Linked DNA regions of Drosophila melanogaster. The gene in region 2 interacts genetically with the main gene of each other region. Each region holds a gene or a part of one and is shown on either strand. Other genes may lie near its edges.

What was found.
Region 1: of Raf (region 2) and hid, changing one enhances a phenotype caused by changing the other (phenotypic enhancement), as found in Drosophila melanogaster (2 studies listed by BioGRID).
Region 3: of Raf (region 2) and exp, changing one enhances a phenotype caused by changing the other (phenotypic enhancement), as found in Drosophila melanogaster (one study listed by BioGRID).
Region 4: of Raf (region 2) and Dis3, changing one enhances a phenotype caused by changing the other (phenotypic enhancement), as found in Drosophila melanogaster (one study listed by BioGRID).

Annotation. Positions count from the first base shown.
Region 1 is NT_037436.4:18,182,621-18,187,664, forward strand, and holds the start of hid (head involution defective), read right to left. Parts: upstream 3,022-5,044; 5' UTR 2,503-3,021; coding exon 2,172-2,502; intron 1-2,171.
Region 2 is NC_004354.4:2,293,455-2,298,500, forward strand, and holds the start of Raf (Raf oncogene), read left to right. Parts: upstream 1-2,011; 5' UTR 2,012-2,504; intron 2,505-2,699; 5' UTR 2,700-2,899; intron 2,900-5,046.
Region 3 is NT_033778.4:11,937,526-11,942,558, forward strand, and holds the start of exp (expansion), read left to right. Parts: upstream 1-2,031; 5' UTR 2,032-2,709; intron 2,710-5,033.
Region 4 is NT_033777.3:24,331,840-24,337,787, forward strand, and holds Dis3 (Dis3), read left to right. Parts: upstream 1-1,593; 5' UTR 1,594-1,653; coding exon 1,654-2,033; intron 2,034-2,085; coding exon 2,086-2,530; intron 2,531-2,593; coding exon 2,594-3,672; intron 3,673-3,728; coding exon 3,729-4,397; intron 4,398-4,454; coding exon 4,455-4,830; 3' UTR 4,831-5,194; coding exon of another isoform or gene 5,195-5,231; 3' UTR 5,232-5,409; downstream 5,410-5,948. Other genes in the region: Rrp5 (ribosomal RNA processing 5), read right to left, coding at 1-1,245, 1,302-1,382; CG6432 (uncharacterized protein), read left to right, coding at 5,195-5,231.

The DNA.
Region 1 (5,044 bases), on a different chromosome or scaffold from region 2:
TCGGGATGTGTCACGATTAGATAAATTATCCTCTTGAGTGGCTAACTAAAGTACATGATCGGCGTGCGTTGAGTAGGGGCTTAGATGTGGTTCGGGAAAATGAGATAAGGGAAAATTACTTTTAAATCGAAACTTTCACGATAACGTCAAGTCTTTTTAGCTCGTTTTTCAAAATAAATGCCCCGCAATCGAATTTTCACTGGGCATCAGCTCTCGTAAGCGAAAAAAAAGTATCTCTGTATAAATTATGATATTATAGACGAAAACAGATTGAAGCGCCCAAAAGTGACTCACTGTAATTTCGAGAAGGGAACGCTTTTTTTTCGTCTGACCAACTGTTGCTGACAGCAAAAAAGGTAACAAACCAAATAAAACAGCAAAATAATATAAAGTAACAATTCGGTTGTTCGGTGGAACCAAAGAGCGCAGCTGGCAATCATCGACAGCGACAAAATCTATTATGCAAAGGCAACACAAAATTAAGGAACGCGAATGAAAAACCGCAAAGCAAACATGAAAAGCGCGCGCGCAAAAAAAAGAAAAACAATAAAAACTGACCGCACTCAACGTGGCCGAGCACAAAAGCTACTTAAACAACCGTTAAGTCAAACACTTTGCAAATGGCCCACACCCTCAACCCGTTTGGCCCCCTTTTGGAAAATCGGAAAACTAGTTGCCTAAGGTCAAATGGCGTTTAATAATTTGGGTTAGTCGAGTGGTAAGATATACGAGCAGTACGCTCGAGATAGATAGATATCTTGCAGATACCCAGACACACAGGCACACCACACTCACTCAAAAGTCTCAAAAGTAAGACATTCGACTCGAGTTTGGCGCGTGCCAATTAAACGTGCTTAGCTCTGTGCTCCCAGCTCTGTTTTATTGCCGCTGGGTTATGTTTCCCTGGTTTCAGCCAGGTCTTTATTTTCTTGCTGGTCCAGCACACGCCCAATTTTTTGACCATATTTACGAACAATATCGCATGACAGCCAACTCGGCAGTTGTCTTGCATGTGTCTCGGCGTTTCTTTCTTAAAGCCATAGCACACTAAAAGTTTTATCAGCCTAGTTTAGATAATCATGACCGAAGGAAATTGATCTTAATGTGATTTATCGAGCTAGTTATCACCATTTCTACTTTATTTTCATTTATTTATAACATAAGTAGATTTTTGTCTCAATACAAAATTTTTTAATTTGTAAGATTCCCACTTTGGGAATTTGATCCAGTAATTCCCCACATGATTTTGAGTTTTTGCAGTTTTGTGACTTCGTTTATTAAGTTTGCTCTCTCCTCCAATCGAAACTTCTCAATTACTTCTCAATTTTCCCCTTTTTGAACTTGTTCGATTAATTTTTATTGAATTACCGTTTTTTCGGCTTCCTTTCGAATGTGGCCGAGAAATTTGCCTTCCGCTCTGCCTTTTACACTTTTTTTTTTGCTGATAAGCTGACAAAGTGCTGAATTGACCATATATAAAATAAAAAAAAAACTGGGTAAAAGTAAACAAAAACAACCTGGATGCAGTTGACGCAGTTACTCGAAACTGGATGAATCAACAACCTTGAAAAGTGAAACTTGCACAAGGGGAACTGAAGCAGTTAACAAATAACGTCACAACTTGGCTAATTGCTGACCCATTTTAAAATGAGGGAAACCCTCCGGCTGTCCAGAAACTTTCTTAAACTAAACTAAATGATATTAAAAGCGGTAATCAAAAATATGAAACCTTTAAAGTCGCTTGTATAGAAAAAAATTGTTCGCCATTTTTTATTGATCAAATCTATTAGTTTGAAAATATCTTCAAACATTTAAAATGCTGTTTTTTCGAAAGAAATAAATTTACTATTCTTTAAGCAATTTCAAGTTAATAACATTTTTTGTTTACTTTTACAAGGAGATCCTATGAAAATCCTTCTTGTTAATAGCAAAACAAGTGGGCTTAAATAAAGTGTTGGTTATAAGCATTTTAGAAAATATATTACCAACATGCGTAAGCAGTTATTCTGTGTGGGAACTTCTTAAACATTTCGCAATTAATAACCGTATATGAATCGAAACTTATTTTTGTATCTGCAAATGTATTTGAGGTAAACTAAATGGATATCCTGATTAACCCACACAATTTCAAAGTTCTTAAGAGTGGAGAATTGAGATCTTTGTAGACTTACCACTCTGCTGGCTCTGGTACATCCTGACCCACTCGTAGAGGGCGTATAGCACTTGGTCGGTGGGCAGTGGAGACTGCATCGGCGTCTGCGTGGCCGACGAGGTGGTGGTGTTCGGCGATTGCGAGGCGGCGCTGCTGGCGCCGTCCGACGATGCGGAGGACGAAGATGAGGCCGAGGAGGCGGAGGCCGAGGACACGCCCGAGGAGGAGACGGACGAGGATGCGCTCGAGGGAAGTGGGTGGTTGTGGGGGGAGGAGTTGCCCGAGGCTCCCGATGAACTCGACGCTACGTCATCGGCGCCGCCCTCGGGCAAATAAAAGGGCACGGCCATTGTGTGGGTGTGTGTGTGTGCTGGCTTCCTTTTTGTCCTTATCCGCTTCCTTCCTTCCTGCACTTTGTTGGCACTTTGCTCTTCTTGTGATTGTTCTTCGCTGCTTTGTTTTGCTTTTTATTTTGTGTACAACTTTTGGTTAGAGTTCACTTTAATTGATTTTGTATTTCTTGTGCAAGATTTTGAATATTAGAAACTTTTTCATTTTTCGTGCAGTTTTTTCTTATGATTTGTTTTTTATCTTTCCTGATTTGTCAAACAACACTCAAGTCAAGTTTTTGCTCGGTTAGTTAGTTTTTCGGATTCTTCTGCGTTTTTCATCAACCCTTTTCGTGTTTAGAACTGATTTAAAAACACAAAACTGTTCACGATGGATTTCGTTTTTTATTTTTTGTTATTTTTTTATTCTTTGCTTTTGCTGTTGTCAATTATGGAAGAGCACTTAAAACGTGTCGCAGACTCAAAGAAAGAGGGCAGGAAACACGTCTTACTGGCTCCGCGGCTAAAAATGAACTGTTCGCACTGGGGCCTCAAACTACGGCAACAGAGCCTCTACCGCGACGTCGGCAGAGCGGCAGCGTAGGCGCGCAGCCAGTGCAATCGCAATCTCTCTCGCTCCCTCTCCTGCACATGCACGTGCATGAAGGAGGCACACTTGAGAGAAAAAAAATATTTTAAAAAATCCCGCTCTTTACCTACCCTGTAATAGCTGAGTGAGGAAGAGTATACTCGGACCATGAATTGCGTCTACATAAATGCATCAAGGAGCATAGTTAACATATCTAGATTTTAAGGTTGTAAAAATTTAATTGATTGGCTTTCGCATACTGAAAAAACTGAAATATTGTACCAGCGCACTAATTGCTGAAGTAACACTATTTTATAACTCATATTTACTTACAACATAAAGTACATATTTAGATGCACAAACAATGTGAAGGGTATGTCTCAGTTGGTACTCTTACAAAACGTTCTTTCTCGTTTCAACTAAGAGTGTGTGGGCAGGCTGTGTACGCGTGTATGTGTGGGTACACAAAGATCTTGTCGAGCAGGTAAATTCAGAAGAAGAAGAAAACTCATCAGAAGTAGCGAAGAGGCAGTATATCCGACTGCGCTGCCTAGCGAACGCTAAAGCAAAACAAAAACTGCAATTGTACAACACTCTTTGCTTGTGGTTTTCGTTATTGCACTTTGCTCTTGCTTTCGGTTTTGATTTGTATTTGTTTAAACAAGAGAGCGGAGGGAGAGCAAGCGTTCTTAAGAGGCCAAAAAACCGGAGTAGAAAGAGTATGATAAATGGGAGTATATTCTATGAGCGGATTAAATGAGTTAAAAAGGTAGTAGAAAAAAGGGAGTTTTTAGACAAAGCTTGATTACTTTCTCACATTTTAAAATATTTTGAGAAGGGAAGTTCACAATTTTATAATGTTCAATACTTTTTTTTTGAATATAAATTTGAAAAATAGCAACATGATTAACAAAGGATCCAACTTGCTTAGCTCAGGTTTTACTGGCTAAATGAATGTACATATGTATGTATGTATGTACATTTATGCAGAGAATGATTAGCTAGTTTATTGTATTTAATAAAATAAATTAAATTGTTTTATATTTTGGGTATTCAAGCAATGTAATAAAGACTATTTAGTTGGCGTTCATTCACATTAAACATTTCAAACGTGTTTTTGAATATACGATAAGGAGTTTAGCTAATTACATTTCCGATTTGGATGTTGGCTATATTTAATCAATTTCACCATATATCAAAAATTGACTGTGCAACATGAAAAACCTGTTTTCGCTCTTACTCTTGTCTTCCTCTGCATCTTCCCCTCTCCCTCCCACACATTATACAAACAGGCTTTTTCCTCTCCTTTTCTCTCTCTCTCTCTCTCTCTCTATTTCCTTCTCTGTCATTCCCAACTTTGCGCGCGAAAACGCTTGAAAAAAATTACGAAATACGCGTAAAACAATTCTTGGCTTTTAATTTAAATTTTACGGCAAATAATTCTCGTAACTGGCATTACTTTAGATCCATTTATTAGCTTTGTATCTATGTAGCTCTAGTAGCTCTCTTAATAATGTGGTATTATAAAATGTTCGCAATATAATTTAAAACAAATTAGATTCTAGACCTAAAACTAGTTTAATAGCCCATATTTCAAAATAAAAGAGGCCCGTCGAAAATTCTGAAGAAAATGCACTTGCATTTAATCTAGTTTTATTATACTTGTTCATATCCCTTAAATGATTACCTTAAATTTTTAAAATCAAAAATGATTTTAGCCCTACCTGACACCTTTTTTGTTTTCACCCAAAAACTCTCTTTATTTAATAAACTAAGATTGAGGTCAAAAATATGCCGATAAAGTGCGATAACACGTAAGCTAAACGACTCGACGACAAATGTATGTACGTAAGTATGTATGGATGAACATACATGAATATGTACATTATGCAAGGATTTCCCAAGATGACGAAATTCAAGCACACTCTTGCACAAAACGACATAAAAAACATGAACATGAGCGAGCATGCAACA
Region 2 (5,046 bases):
GCCGCAGTGGCGTCGCTGCCTCTGCCCTCGGTGGCAGAGCGCACAGATGTTTGCGTTCAAACGGAAGTGGCTTAAGAGAGCGCCTAAGAGAGAGAGAGTGAGAGAGCGAATGGCCTACGTGCGTATTTGTACATGCATACACACAGCTGAGGCAAACAAATAATAACACCTAGGCGCTTAAATAAAAGTTTTTAGGCCAATCGTCTCAAGCTAAATGATTTGATTTACTTTATATAGGTGCTCTGTATGAACTAAGTTAATTGACATATTGCATTAACAATCTTTACAGACACAATAATCTTAGTTCCAACTTGCAAATTGCTAACATAATTTTTCCAATATTCCCACATATCTTAAAACTGTAATTACATTTTCAGTGCTATTCTCTCCACCTGCACTGTACATGTGTATGTATATTTGTCGCAAAGATTTTTACTCATTTGTAACGGAAGCAAATCGCTGGTCAGTGGGTGGTGTATTTGTGTTGTCGTGGGTGTTTGAGTGGTTGGGCGCTTCGGTGATGAGCATAATCCGCATAGTTGTTGCTCCTGCCCCTTTATTATGTAAAAATAGTGACTTTGGCTGGATTTGGCTATGCAAAGTACTTGCTAAGGCAATCACCTACACTTGCGGCAACTGCTAATTGAGAAATCCACACGGCGCTGACATGGAATCATTCGAATCCATTGAAATTGCCAAATTAGGCGTGGGGGTAACCCCTTGAACTTATCGGCTCGGCTTAACGGGTTTAACAAAATTAAATACACACATATGCGCATGTATACATATGTTCATGCTTGTAGAGTGGCTCCTATAGTCTGTTTTGCGAATCAGAATCCAAGTAGAATAGTTTTTTAAGTGTTGTCTCAAAGATGTATGCATACATGGATGTATGTATGTATGTGTGCTTATGACTCTGTAGAAGGTCTATAAACTATGTATTTTGAGGTTTTGAAATGCGAGCTCGAATCAACCCCCTTCCCCGTTTCCAGCTCGATTCATCCTCTTCAACAAGTTCATCTCATCATTTACAGTTTTAGCATGATCCGAAAAATAACAACAACAACAACGACAACAACAAAAGCAAGAAAGTGGGCACAAATAATCGTAACAACAACAATTGTGAGGTCAGTTTGGCACTAGTCAGCGTGTGTGATTATGTGCGCACTTATGTCTGCGTGCATGTACATACATACATATGTTTGTGTGCGAGCACAAAGAGACAATGCAAATTTGCACTCAAACAAAGAGAGAGCGAGTGCAAGTGCGAGTGCGAGAGAAAGGGAAGAGTTCATGAGCGTGCGTTGTGAATGGCTGGAGGGGTCGAGTGCTGTGAGTGGGGGGATCTTTGTTTATCATTTTTGTGTACTATTATTAAGGCGCCGCTGACGGTCGATGACGACATACACACACACACACACACACACACGCAAATGCAAACATAGAGTTTGCACGTGTTTGTGCAAAGTGTTTAGCCGCAAGAAGTAAAGTTCTCGTTTTGATTTTGTTTATTCAAAATTGAAATTCCCAGAAACAAAAGCTCCCATGACGATGATGATTCACATGCCAGACGCTGCGGGGAAAAACATCAGGAACTTTATCAGCTAATTGTGTCACAAGAGGACAAATAAGCCAGAAACATTTGCCTGCGCGCGTTTCTTGGTATAGTGCCATCAACTCGATCTCGATCTCAGTAGTTCATCTTTTATAATGCCCACACACACATACATATGTACATATATGAGCATATGTACATATGTACATAAGTCATATGTACATATATGAGCATATGTATGTACATAAGTCATATGTACGTACATACGTTTTTGATTATCTTAAAAAATTGTAATCACACGTACTCCTGCCATTTGACTTAGACCCACTTTCGATATTGACAAATTTTCAATGGTTTTACATTTTTTCCCCACCTCTATTCATAATTTCTGTGTCTCTTGTGTTGCTTAAATGGGCCGTTTTGATTTCTTTCGCGTCTCATTCCAATTCCATCCCTCTTCCATTCCCATTGCCACACGCTTGGCGCTCTTTTGCATTTTCTTAAAGTCGCCCAGATAAGTTCGGAATTACGTAATTAAGCGGCAGCAGCAACAACAAAAACAACATAACCAACAAGCTAACAATTAAGTATTTATTGCTTTCAATTTGCTGCCCGATAACAAAAGAAGCCAAAAAACAAAAAGGAAAAACGAGAGACTGGAAAAAACAAGCAGAACAAAGTAAATAAAAACCGAAACGGACACACATACACACACACACACACCGCTACCTGCGTCGACAGCGGCAGCGAAATCAGCGCCTCGCTTCAATTTTATTCCGTTTGAATTTGAAGATGTTTTTAGTGCACTGCCATTAAGTCCTTAGCACGCGCTTTTATTTCGCTTCGTTTCAATGTGCAGGTAGGAATAACAAAAAGCGGAGGATGGGAGTGACAACGAAATCGAAACTTTGCAACAAAATTGCATTTGAATGAGCAGCGGGGGCGCGCGGTAATTTCAATTATCAATAACATATTTAAATTCCCCATTCTCCTCCCCTTCTATTATCCTCTGTCCCTCCTTCCCCCCTCCACGGACTCCTACACCTTTTTTAGTCGCTCTCTCAACTCTTGATTGCTCTCTCTCTCCCTCTCTCTGTGCGATGGGAACGTTCTCTTTGCCTTTGCATCGGCCACTTCACTTCAGCGGAGAGCACAGTGGGATAAATTGGCAGTTGATGACCCATTGTTGCATTATTGTGTTTTAACCATAAAGCCAACAAATGCTTGGCGTTCAAGCCCTTCATGGAGTAACGCATATCAACGGATTGTCGGGGATTATCCAACGTCTTAAAGTCAAAATCTTACAAATCGCAGTATTTACCTGGCAAACGTGTTAATCCACAGGTAAGTTGGGCTGAAACCACCCTAAGTCAATATCAAGGGTTTTTTTTTAGATCTTTCTAAAGTTTAATTGTACGCATGTCTTAGCTTCGAATTCTTGTCATCCGAAATGCTTTGTTGTCCATTTGTTCTTGTTCTGGCCCACTGTGCCGCGTGTGAATGAACGTATAAAAAGTGAGAGCGTCGCCTGCCCGACTCATAAACGAAAATCAATGACTCCCAATGCGCGTACCCTTCCCTCACCCCCCTGCGGAGCCCAACGCTTTTTGGGAGTGATAAATGCCGCCTCAGCGTCGTCAGCAGATTTCAGCCTGCGCATGTTTGTCGGCCCGCAAACACTCGCAAACACACACACACGCTCTTCCCGTGATGTTTGTTGATTTGGCTGCATTCAAGAAACGACAGTGCTTGGGGCAGTGGGCATTGTTAGACTTTTAGTCGTTTCAACTCTACTTTCAGTGGGTATCATCCGCAACCAAAAGGAGGAAGGATGAACATTGCATGTGTGTACATACATATGTACATACGCAGTACGTAGTACGGATTACGTATTACGTATGGGCAGTTGCCATTTATGCAAGGTGGCTGTTCCTGCACTCGAACACATGTTTGTGTGGTCATTTGTAATTTGGTCAGGCGAGCAACAAGAAAAAAGGATAATGAAAGGATCAAATGTGCGTAGAACGTACATATAAAGGGTGTGATATCACAATTATTTTCGATGACTTCGTTTAATGTTGGAAAAGTAGACGGGAATGCATTACATCGAAGTGAACTATTTAACTTTGGATAGAACTGTTGTTTTTTGTAGGCATTTGCATTTCTCGCCGCTTCTTCTGCTCCTCCTCCTGCTCTTCGCTTTGGCGTTGGCGAGAGAGCGCCTCGTTGGTCTCTTTGTGTGTTTATGCTTTCAACATTGATACGTGCCACTTTTCGGATGCAGACTTGCGAGAAGCAGCGGGGGGGGGGGGGGGGGAAGAGGAAGTGGCAGAAGCTGGTAGACGGGGGCAACGTGTGGGGACAGCTGGGTGAGTTTGTAATTAATTGCGGCCTTGCCTCCCCTTCACCGCCAAACATCCTCATCCCCGGCAGCCAGGCTCCCTCGCTCGCTCAGGCAAACTCTCTCGCTGAGAAACCAGCCGCCAACAGTTTGTTTTCTTTTCTCGCCGCTCTCATCGTCACTTCCGACTCGTCGGGGGCAGAGGGTGGGCCAGCGGCATACTCTTTGTCTAGTCGCCAATCTCCCCGCACTCCACTTCATTCATGAAGCACAAAGTGTACAGCAGACACTCGCTAAGTGACTAGTGTTTCGTAATTCATTAAGATTTTTGTTGGTTTTCTTCTCTCATTTTTCCCGCACCAATTCTGCACTATTCACAAGTAAAAATGGCACCAACTCTCTTATTTGTGGGCACTAAAACGACCATGAATCGTCGTTCGGTGTTCACTGTACCTGCTGCCAGTAGCCCAAAAACGGACAGTGGCTGAGGCGTCAGCGTCGGCAGAGCAAAGAAAGCGCGCTAGTTACAGTTACAGTTACGTTACAGAGGGCCAAAGACAATGCTAGGCTTGGTTAACGGTAATTACAGCGTTTGTGGGGGGGGGGGGTGTGGTGTAGTGCTCGGGCGTAGCTAGGCAGAGGGATATTTGTTAATACATATGTAGCACTCGAATTCTTTAGTTGGTTTATAATATCATCAAGAATGAGGAAAAAACTAGCTAATTTGTTGATAAATGTTAAGATGCCCCTCTGTTTTAAGTCCTCACTAAGCCCATGAAAAGCACCGTTAATTGAGTGGGATGATCCCCATTGAAAGCGCAGTACTACAGCTAATTCCAATACCACTTTCAATATCCAATTGCTCGCCTTTCAATCGTCGAAACGGTGAACGAAGAGGAGAAAAGATAAGGGTATGTACCGAAATGTGGAAATACCCGAAAGGGCCATTGGAATATGGGATATTGAACCCTAATCGTGAAGACCTCGTGTTTTCTTTGACTCATCAGCCGATTTTGCGATAATGCGCTCTTTTTGGTATCCGTTGGATGATACATAAATTAAATACATAAATGATAACTTATAGAAACACCATACACAACTGTTTAGAAATTTGTGTCAATCACTGTGACTCACTCATGATTGGTGGCTC
Region 3 (5,033 bases), on a different chromosome or scaffold from region 2:
TGGCAACGCTCGATTGGAGGCCCAGCCGCAGACTTTTAATAATTACCTGAGGTGCGGCCACTTGAACTTGACTTTAATTGGCTATCGATAAAGTAACAACAATTATGCCAGCACCTGTGGGTTCTCTCCCTTTTTTATGGGCGTCTTTCACTTTGGTCTTTCACTTTTCATTAACGCGACCAATTGATTTTGGAGCCGTTTCGAATGTTATGTAACCCCCGCATACCAGCGATTTTCGATGCCAGCGTTGTCTCATGGTAATTGAATATGGATTACCAAAGTGTAACAAGTGCAAAGCCGTGCGGGCTGCATATTAAGATGTATGAAATGAACAATAACGGTGGAAACTGCTTCGCATTAACAGCAAATGCAAAACGACAGCTACGCCCCCACTTTGCAGTTTCATCAGCTTTTATGATGCCATCCGCGTGACTCGGACTGTCATACCTACGAATGCTACTCCTCTTCAAACGCACTGGAAATGCTCATAATTTGATAATAGCATCAATTAAACTTGATTGCTGGCCGAGACTCTATGCTGGCTCCCATTGTTGTTGGCCGTAATTAGCACCCAAGCGAAATGTTTATACGCCAGTAGTCAAAACTTCTTATTGCCTGGCTATACAAACGGTGTCATTAGTTGGGGATGAGTTATGTATGCGAACCGGAATTTTTTCCTTTTTTTTTTTGGCACGTAATGAAGTCATATTTGCTTAGACAAATTAAATGGGAAACTCTGTGCGCTTCTTATCGATAAACATGCGCAAGAAGAAGCAGCAAGCAGTCGTATCAAAACAAAAGACTTAGGCAACGAACTTGGGCTTGCGTCGACATGAATTTATAATTTTACGCGCTGCGGATTTCAAGACAGCATTCCCAGCATTGTTGCTGGGCCCGTCCGTCATCATCAGCAGCCTCACGATCTTTATTCGCTATATACACAGGCAGTGTATATTTTAAGCACATTTTGAACGCAATAAACAAGGATTTAGTGGTGATATAAAATTTTTAAAAATGTTTGCCTCTAGTTAATCTTCTTCATATCAGTTTAAACAACTATAGTGCTCTGTTTGCGTGATTTATTCAAATTAGTTGCTTGTGCTAGTACATTGTCTTAAAATATTAAGCTATTAAATCGTTGACCCGAATATTTATTATTATTTTCCATAGGGTATTCAAAATTTAAATTCTACCAAAGTGTCTTGTCTTTTGCATTTTACAAGCCCAGCAGAATGGTTTTAATACCATTTCAATTTGATGGAACTAGTGCATTTGCCTCGTGTCACTTTTGGTTGCGCCTGGTGATTTTGCAATTTAATTTCTGCCCGCAAAACGAGTTGCGAAAAAGACTCGGCTAACTCGGACAAGTTCTTGGCTCATGCACTTGTTGCAGCGGTGTTATTTGTATAATGCAGATTTTTAATTGCCTGTCACATAAATTCCAGAGATCTGCGGGCGTTGTAGAACCGCAGGTAGTTTGACATTTCGATTGACCTTCAGAAAGCCATTAGAATAAGAGGCGCATCGGCCATAAAAAACAAATATAAAATCCAGAACCGTTAGGCCTGCCAAAAAATCTCGCCTAAAAGCTTTTAAGTAACGAGTTGATAAATAAAAATTAAAACATTTTGGATAAGCAAAAGAAGAAAAAAACGACAAGAAACATATGCCGATGATGTAATTAAGGTGTAGAAAGCAGGGAGATGAGATTGATGACCACCAAATCTTGCTGGGAATTCAACAAAAATGCAGCCCAAAAGAGCTGCCTAAGAGAGCGCCCATTCGAAGAGCTAGAAATGCGCTCTTGTAGGAACTCTTTTCCAAAAAAGCTTCGCCAAGCTTTTAGACACGCTAAACGCTATTAAGCCAACTTAGCCATGAAGCGACAAGGTAAGAAAAAAAAAAGACAGGTAAAAGAAATACCGAAGCAACGTAACCGAACTTACGGTAAGAAAAAAGGCAGGTAAGGCCGCCAGGTAAGCTCGGCTCTGCCGCCACGAAAGCCCGGCTCTGCTTTTCGCCTTCGATTCTTCAGTCGAGTCGCGAAAGTCGTCGAGTGCGTTTGGTTCGCTGGCTCGTCGGCAGTGCAGCTAAGAAAGAAAAGCAAATCCCCAGCCAATAAAAAATATTATCAAAAAAGAAAACAAACTGAGAAAGAAGAGAAAGAAGCTGCTGGAAAAAAAGGTCGTCATCATCACGAATTTTTGTGCGCGCAGTCTTCGCCGTTATGCAATTGAAGTGCGTTCACAAAATGCCGAGATAGCAACAATTTTGAATTCATTAATTTGCTGGCGAATTAGAAATTTCTGTCGCGCGAGTTTAAAAGACGCATAAATACCCGTGTCCAAATTAAATATTACAATTTATGGCAAACTCGTTTCCACACAGCCCAGCAGCATCGAAAAAGTGAAATTAATAAAGTGAAAAGCAAACGGCAATTGTAGCAAAAAGGCAATTACAAAATCAATATAAATAATAATAGAAAATCATTGTTGCAGCATTGATGAAATATACGTACATACATATACGTAAAGAAATAAACAACAGTTAGGGGCAAGCACTTTTCCTCGTCGTCGCTCTGCGAATACGTAATCATTGGGAAAATATCAGCAATTTTGCAACAGTTTCGTCACAACAACAACAACAACAGCAGCAGCAACAGCAACACCAGCGACTGCAGAAAAAAAACAAAAGTAATTGAGCAGAAAGGTGAGTTCGCAGAGACCAAGAGACACGCATGCAAAGCAGGAAAAAAGTACGAAAAAAGCATGGAAAAACGAAGAGAAACCCTAGCCCTTGCACCTGTTGCGCCTTCCTGGAGGAAAACGCAGTGCTCAGCATCTTTCATTCATAATTGCCCACTTTTTCTTTAACTGTACGGCTGGACTTCCTGCTTACGCACTTTTTTTTTTTTTTTTTGGTCGCTCTGTTTGGTGTTTGCTGTTTGCTACACTTCAGTTTCATTTTCATTTAAATGCGAGCTGAAAACACGGCTTTGGCTCTCAAGGTTGACAACATCTGCGTTTGCTGCTGTGCTTTTCGGCTTCCTCCTCGGATTGCGTATTCATATTTGAATATTATACAATTTGAGACGTCTCAGTTTCGTAAATAGTTCCTTTTTTGCCATCAATTCAAGAGATTAGTGCTGAATTAGCAGCACAATGTCAAGTTAATTTGGGTTCAGCAACTTTTTCTGGCTCTTCATCTCTCAAACTCTTTTTTCTGATACATGTGCACTGAAAAAAGCTGTTGCCATTGTTTTGATGCTTAAAAATTATTAAAGTCTGGCTTATTTAAATCTCATATAAATATATAATATATTAATCTTTGAAATTCTTGTTAAAAGTATTTAGCCTTTTTGACAATTTTATTTTAATTAATGGCCTGATATTAACAAAATGCAAAACACTTGCATGTGACCTTTAAAATATGCCATATATTTTTGGCTTTTATAACCAGTATATTGCCGGCTTTAAGCCAATAAATAAGAATTGTCAATAATTGTTTCAGCACTCATATATATTTGGCAATAAGTAAGAAATAAATGAAACCTCAAATAAATGGCAATTCATTTAAAATCTTAAAAAGGTCTAGTTTCATGTTTCATGATTTTTTTTCGGTTTGAGAACGATTTTTCTCAGTTCACACATAGCCTTGAATAAAACAGATGGATGAGTTTCAGACTGCCAACACGCCTTCGAAAACAAATGCATTTAATACTGAAAACGGGGCGGCCCGAAAAAAAAGCTTAAATTAAAATGTGCAGTAGGTGTTGCCATTCCGATTCCGACTGCGATTGCGAATGCGACAATTGCCCCGACACTTGTATATATATATATATAAATCGTATAGTATATATACACTATACTATATCCGAGCGAAGAGTGAGTGATGAAGAGCTCGAGAGGCAAAGGAAGGAAGTTGCTATCGGCATGAGTTGCAGTTTCATTGGGCTTCGGTTACAGACTCAAATCCAACTTCTCAGCCCATCATCTTTGCAGTTTGTGGGCTTGTGGGAGTCAATTAGTGGGCAAAATTTAAATACATTTAGGTAGATGGTGAGGGGGGGCTGGCATGCCACCCAATTATGCATCCATAAATGTAAACAATCGTCGAAAAGACCCTGTAAAGTGCGGTTCTTCGCCTTAAGAAGAAGAAGAAGAAGAAGGAGAAGAAGTAAGTGCTGAAATCCGTCTAGGCAAAAGTTCACCATGGCCAGAATCTGCAGACAATATAACGTGGCCGAATCGGCTAATGGGAAATGTCAGTCAGTCGGCCGACAACGTTGACTTCATTTACATTTTGGCAAAACAACAAATGAGCTTGCACTAAGCCCCAAAAAAAAAAGGTCGAGCAATAAATTTGTTTTGTAACTCTACCTTTTTAACCAAAAACTAAACCTATTTTCTACTTGGCCAAATTCCAGGAGAATTTGCATTCGACCGCCTAACCGTTCTTTCACTCTCTTTGTGCTTCTGGCCATTTCTTTTCACGCTGTGCGCATATTTCATGAGCTGTCGATGAGTTTGGTTCTATTTGGGTTTATTGAAAGCCATTCCCCCGCCAAATGGGCACCGTTCATTAGCGGGAAAATGGGTTAATCTCATTCAGCGGTCTGCCATACAGTTGCGGTCAAAAAAGTGGCACTGATATATTTGGTTTCTTTGATTGGCTGTAATTCATCTGATTAATTTATCTGCCTAAGTTGTTAAAGAAATTCCTAATAATAGCGAATGACAATGTGTAGATTGTGATATAATCTTTTCCTTGTACGAGCACACCAAAATGTCAAAAGTTTATCTAATAGCTTTAATATCTTTATTGACCCATCTCTAAGATCGCAGTTGTATATAGGTACACGTATCAGAGTTTCCGCACCTTTAAAAGATGCTATAAAAAATGCGCTTTTCAAGTGCGTGCAGTCTGTGATTCAGAAGCTAATTAATCCACAGATGTGGTGGCGCTAACAAAGTGTGAAAGAGAGTCTGATAGGGAGGCACGTGTTGTTGTTTGTCGGCGATTAGCCAGATATT
Region 4 (5,948 bases), on a different chromosome or scaffold from region 2:
CTCCAGGCAGAACAGCTTTTCGTTGACCACGTTGGGATCATCGGAGCAGTAGTACAAGGATTCGATGACATCGTATCCTAGGATGCGAACCTTATGCTTCGTTTTTCTTCCGTATTTGGACAATACTTCGTCCTTGTCATAATTTCCCTTGAAATTGCCTCTGATTGAACCGTATGAGATAATGCCCTTTAGTTTCTTATTAAGAAGCAGTACCACGCCACCGCTGCCCAAGCGCAGAACCTTGGCTTTTTCCACCACGGAACCCACCTTTATGGGCTCTACCTCCTGCTCTTCCTCATCCTGATCTTTTGCTACTGCAGCTCCAGTTTTGATATCCAGATTAAGAGTTAAGTACACTAGTTTGGTTAGGGGCATCACGTAGAGTACCCTGGCATTGTAATCCTCATTCAGCTCGTAGGCATCCAAAGTATCCAAAGCGTTAGCTAGATGATGTTCGTTGACGTAGGCACTAAAGGATTCATTCATGATGCTGCCTTTGAGGCCATCCTTCAGATGCTTGGCCACCTTAAACTTTACAATGCTGCCTGGCAGAATGTAGTCGAGATTCGTCTCGTTTTGACTCTTGATGCGCAGCTGGTCCTGCTCCACCTGGACACAGGTGCAGGTGCTCTGGTGGGTGTCGTGATGAACGGTTTTGACTTTTAGGAAAGCCAACTGCCCCACGTGTAGCTTCTGAGCTGGCTTCTCGCATGGCACGAATGCCTGAAGTCCTTGTACTCCCGACTCGATGACATAGCCGTGCTCCAGAGCCTCCGCCACGGCGCCAGAGAAGATGAAACCCTTCTTAATGCTCTTGTGATGCAGATTACCGTGCACATCGGCCGGCTTGAGGGAAAGGAGCAGGCTAACCCGACCGGTGTCCAGCTTTTCTGTTTTGATGGCCTTGCCGTAGACGATGCGGCCCAACTGGAAGAGCTCGGTAAGGTCGTGGTACTCGCTGGTGTCTCCGGACATGGCCGCCTTGGCCACACGGGTGTAGGCGTCGGATATATCCGCCACCAAGGTGCGGGCGAACATCCGACCGGGCAAAGCGATCTGCAGTGCGGTGGCTGTCAACTCCTTGACCACTCCCATGACCAGCATGTCCTCCTGCAGCGTGTCCATATTGAGCGTTTCCGCGGAGAAGGCCTCCAGTTGGCCATTTTGTTCCTCGGTTTCGTAGCTCAGAAGGTTCTCTTTTACTTTCGGCGCCTTCTTCACCTTCTTCTGCGAGGCACCGAAAACCTGTGGGACAGAAAAGTATGTACAAAGATCTCGGATATTTCGCTGGCTAAACTCACGATATTCAGGCTCACGTCGTCGGTTTTGACTTCGCTGTGGATTGTCCCGCCTCGGGGAAAGCTTTTCTCGTTCGGCACCATCCGGGAGCTGTGTAATTTAGCGTTTTAAATAACAAAATTTGAGCAACGTGCGTTCTACACGTGCTAAGCGCCGATATAGAAAATCAGTTCAATAAATGGTACTAAATTATACCTTAAGATACGGGGCAGTCCGTAGACTCAAACCACTGTGACCATTGCGGCTGCAGTGTGAACAGGCCTTAGGCAGATAATACCGCAGTCGAATCATGCACGGGCCTCCCTATTCCGGCACACATGTGAAGGTGTAACAATTCGAACGCGGTTCAACAAAATGCAAACTTTACGCGAATTTACGCGTAAAACCAAGCGCGGCAACATTCTGAAGATTGTACGGGAGCACTATCTGCGCGACGACATCGGCTGCGGCTCCGAGCTGTGCCGGGAGTGTTTCCAAAACGAGGTATACCAGCTCACCTCGCAGCACGCGAATAAGAGCACCCTCTTCAAATTCCCGCACTATCTCGTTTTGGACACAAATGTGGTTCTGGACCAGATCGACGTGCTGGAGGAGGATGTTTTGCGCAACGTAGTCGTTCTGACCACCGTGCTCAACGAGGTGAAGCACAGGAGCTCCGCCATTTACAAGCGATTCAATGAGATCGTCCACGACCGCACCAGGAACTTCTATGTGTTCGTCAACGAGCACCACAAGTGGGTTAATGGATTTTCTTGGGAAACCTTTATAATATAGTGCTTCTTCTAGGGAAACCTATGCTGATCGCGAACCAGATGAGACCGCCAATGATCGCAATGATCGGGCCATTCGTCTGGCCACCAAGTGGTACGATGATCACCTGCAGGCCTCGCAATCCTCTAAAGAGTTCGAGCGCAGTGGCAAAGCTGCTACGCGAGTTGTTCTGCTCACAGATGATGCTGCCAATCGTGCTAAGGCCGAAGCAGAAGGTATTCTGGTGACCACAGCAGCGGAGTACGTGAAATCTCTCGAGGATTTTCCACTTCTGATGGATAAGCTGTCGCACAAAACATTCGACAGCGAGAAGAATGGTCTGCCCCAGTACCCGCCGCATCTCAGCATGAAGGAGCTGCTGGAAGGACTGCGCCAAAATAAGCTACTACAGGGCACTTTTCAGGCATCCAGGGAAAACTACTTGGAGGGCACCGTCAATGTAGAGAAATTCGAAAAGGGGGTAAGTTAAAACGCTAAATATCTTCCCTGGCATACGCTTCACAATACGATTTCTGTTTAATAGATCCTTATCCAAGGACGCGAGTCTCTTAATCGGGCCGTGGATGGCGACCTGGTGGCCGTGGAGCTTTTGCCCGAGGCGGAGTGGTCAGCACCCAGTGAAATTGTACTGGAGGAGAAGAATGTCTATGCCGATGAAGTGCCCAGCGAGGAAAGGGCCAAGGATGAAAATGAGATGTTGAATCAGGTGCGTGCCGCTGCCTTATCCGCAGAGCGCACGCCCACAGGGCGAATTGTCGGTATTGTGCGACGGAAATGGCGACAGTATTGCGGCATCCTGCAGCCTAGCTTAATAGAGGATACAAATCGGCACATCTTTGTGCCCGCCGACCGTAAGATTCCGCGCATCCGTATCGAAACGCGACAGGCAGCAATGCTGCAGAACCAGCGCATCATCGTAACGATTGACACATGGCCGCGCAACTCGCGCTACCCACATGGACATTTTGTGCGCTCCCTGGGACCGCTCGGAGACATGGCCACCGAGAACGAGGTTATCCTGCTGGAGCACGACGTCCCGCACTGCAAGTTCTCGGACGAAGTGCTTAGCTTCTTGCCGAAAATGCCCTGGACAATTACTGACGAGGACTATTCCAAGCGTGTGGATCTGAGGGATCTGTACATTTGCTCTGTGGATCCCCCGGGCTGCACGGATATCGATGATGCTTTGCACTGCAAGGAACTACCGAACGGCAATCTGGAAGTGGGCGTTCACATAGCCGACGTAAGTCACTTTATTCGTCCAGGAAACGCACTGGACATGGAGGCAGCGGCCAGGGGAACCACCGTGTACTTGGTGGGCAAACGAATCGACATGGTACCCGAGTTACTCAGCTCAAATCTCTGCTCATTGGTTGGCGGTGTTGAGCGATTCGCCTTCTCCTGCGTGTGGGAAGTGGACAATGAAGCAAATGTGTTAAGCAAACGCTTCCACAAGAGCGTCATCAAATCGAAGCGTGCCATGACCTACGAGGAAGCGCAGAATATCATCGACGATGCCACGCAACAGAATGAAATAGCCAAGTCCCTGAGAAATCTTAATCGGTTGGCCAAAATACTGAAAAAGCGACGAATGGATAATGGGTAAGATTATATTAACACCTCGTAATCAAGTGAACTAAGGCATCCATAATTTACAGAGCCCTTGTCCTTGCCTCCCCGGAGATCCGCTTCCAGGTGGACAGCGAGACACACGAACCACTCGAGGTGGAGGTGAAGCAGATGCGCGAGACGAATTCCATGGTGGAGGAGTTCATGTTGCTGGCCAACATCACGGTGGCCGAGCATATCGCAACGGAGTTCTCCGAGTGCGCTGTTCTGCGTCGCCATCCTCGGCCACCGCCTACCAATTTCGATCCGCTGGTAAAGTCTGCGCGCTACCAGGGCTTCCAGGTGGACATCAATTCGGGACTGGAGCTGTCGCATTCACTGGACAAGTGTGTCAAGGCGGATAATCCGTACTTTAACACAATGATCCGCATCCTCACCACACGCTGTATGATGCAGGCAGTGTACTTCATCAGCGGCAGTCTGCAGAAGGAGGAGTTCTTCCACTACGGTCTGGCTGCTCCCATCTACACGCACTTTACGTCGCCCATTCGTCGTTACTCCGACATTATGGTACATCGCCTGCTGGCCGCCTCAATCGGCGCGGATAGCACCTATGCCCAGCTATTGGACCGAAAGTCAAATGAGGAGCTGTGTCATAATCTTAACTACCGCCACAAAATGGCTCAGTACGCTGGTCGCGCATCAGTGGCCCTCAACACGCATCTCTTTTTCCGCGGCAAGGAGGAGGATGAGGAAGGGTGAGTCGAAGAAACCACTAGTGGGCAACATTCTTTTCAATTATTACCCATCCCTAGATATGTGCTATTTGTGCGCAAGAATGCTCTGCAAGTGCTAATCCCCAAGTATGGCCTGGAAGGCACTTTGTATCTAAAGTCGGACAAGGATGGCAAGGACGGTGTGGAGCGCGTCAAGAGCGAGATTGTCTTCACCTTCAACGAAGAGGATCATACACAGCGTTGCGGTGACGTGGTGTTCCACTCCTTTGATCCAGTCACGGTTCGTCTTAGCCTGGATTCCAGCAATGTGCAGCACGAGAAGCTGATCTTCCGGCTGGTCAAGCCGTACATCAAGGGCTTCAGCGTGGAAACGACCACCGAAGGAACTGATAGCCAAGCGGTTTCTGCGGCACCTCCATCGAAAAAGACAAAGAAGGATAAGAAAAAGAAGTAATTCTTTGGATCTTTGCTTATGTGGAACTAGACTACGCTGAAGATGTGTAACTACAATCATTTCGTATAAATAAAATGTAAGGTTTTTAAATTCCGCTCCGTTTCGTAAACCTTTTCCACCGTTCCGGCTCTGCCGATCTCGGAGAGTTTCGAAAGCATACCTTTGATCGGGTGTTTTGTTTAAGGTTTTGGTTTCCAACTTGCGTTCTACATTCTCCAGACCCATTGCAAAGTTTCGACTACAGTGCGACGGTTGTGCTGAGCTCGTTTGATCCAAAAAATTCAAAAAGAATATATATAATAAATACATATATACATTAACTTGACTTGAATATATACAAGAACGGAAGTTATACAAAGTTACAATGGAACCCGGTCCTAGTGCAGTGAACTACGAAGGCAGTAAGTCGAAAAAGGTTTCGAAATTCATATGAAAAGGCTAAAAAATTTAATCAATGAGTAATCGCGTGATTTTTGCGGAACATATATTTATATCGGTACACATATTTTAATACGCATATTGAAAACATCAGTTAAAATAAACAACTTTTAGAACATCAAATAAAGTGCTTGGAAAACTAATATGCCAACTTTCGTTGTGATCTAAATGAATTCTATAGATTTTCGAATTTTCCAAAAACTATCTAAGTGGAGTCCAACTTTTTACAATATTCTTGGATTCTTGCAGTGCGATGTAGATAGATAGATAATTTATGCACAAGAGTTCAAGGTGATAAATATTGTGTTTTAAACCACTGCTCGCCAATTAAAATAATGAACTTTCGATGCGACTTTGAAGTGATTAATTAGTGTTTAGTTGTGCGCCCAAACTGTCGGCACTAAATATTAATGAATTCGATTAGCTTATTCAACAAGGAGGCTTTTAGGTCCAATATCCATCGCCAATCACGTGTGGATTATGCTCGGCGTCTGGGTGAGCCGCACACCCGACGCATATGTGCAGTACATGGGTGCCAGGTTGGGTATATAGAAATCAGTTGAGTGACCGCGACATTTGGAAAATTTAAAATTCAATGTGCCTGGTGTGTGTAAGGTGGTATGGAGTGGAAGGTTTGTAATTTAGTTTGATAGCCTAATTAAAAGCAGCGATTAACCCAA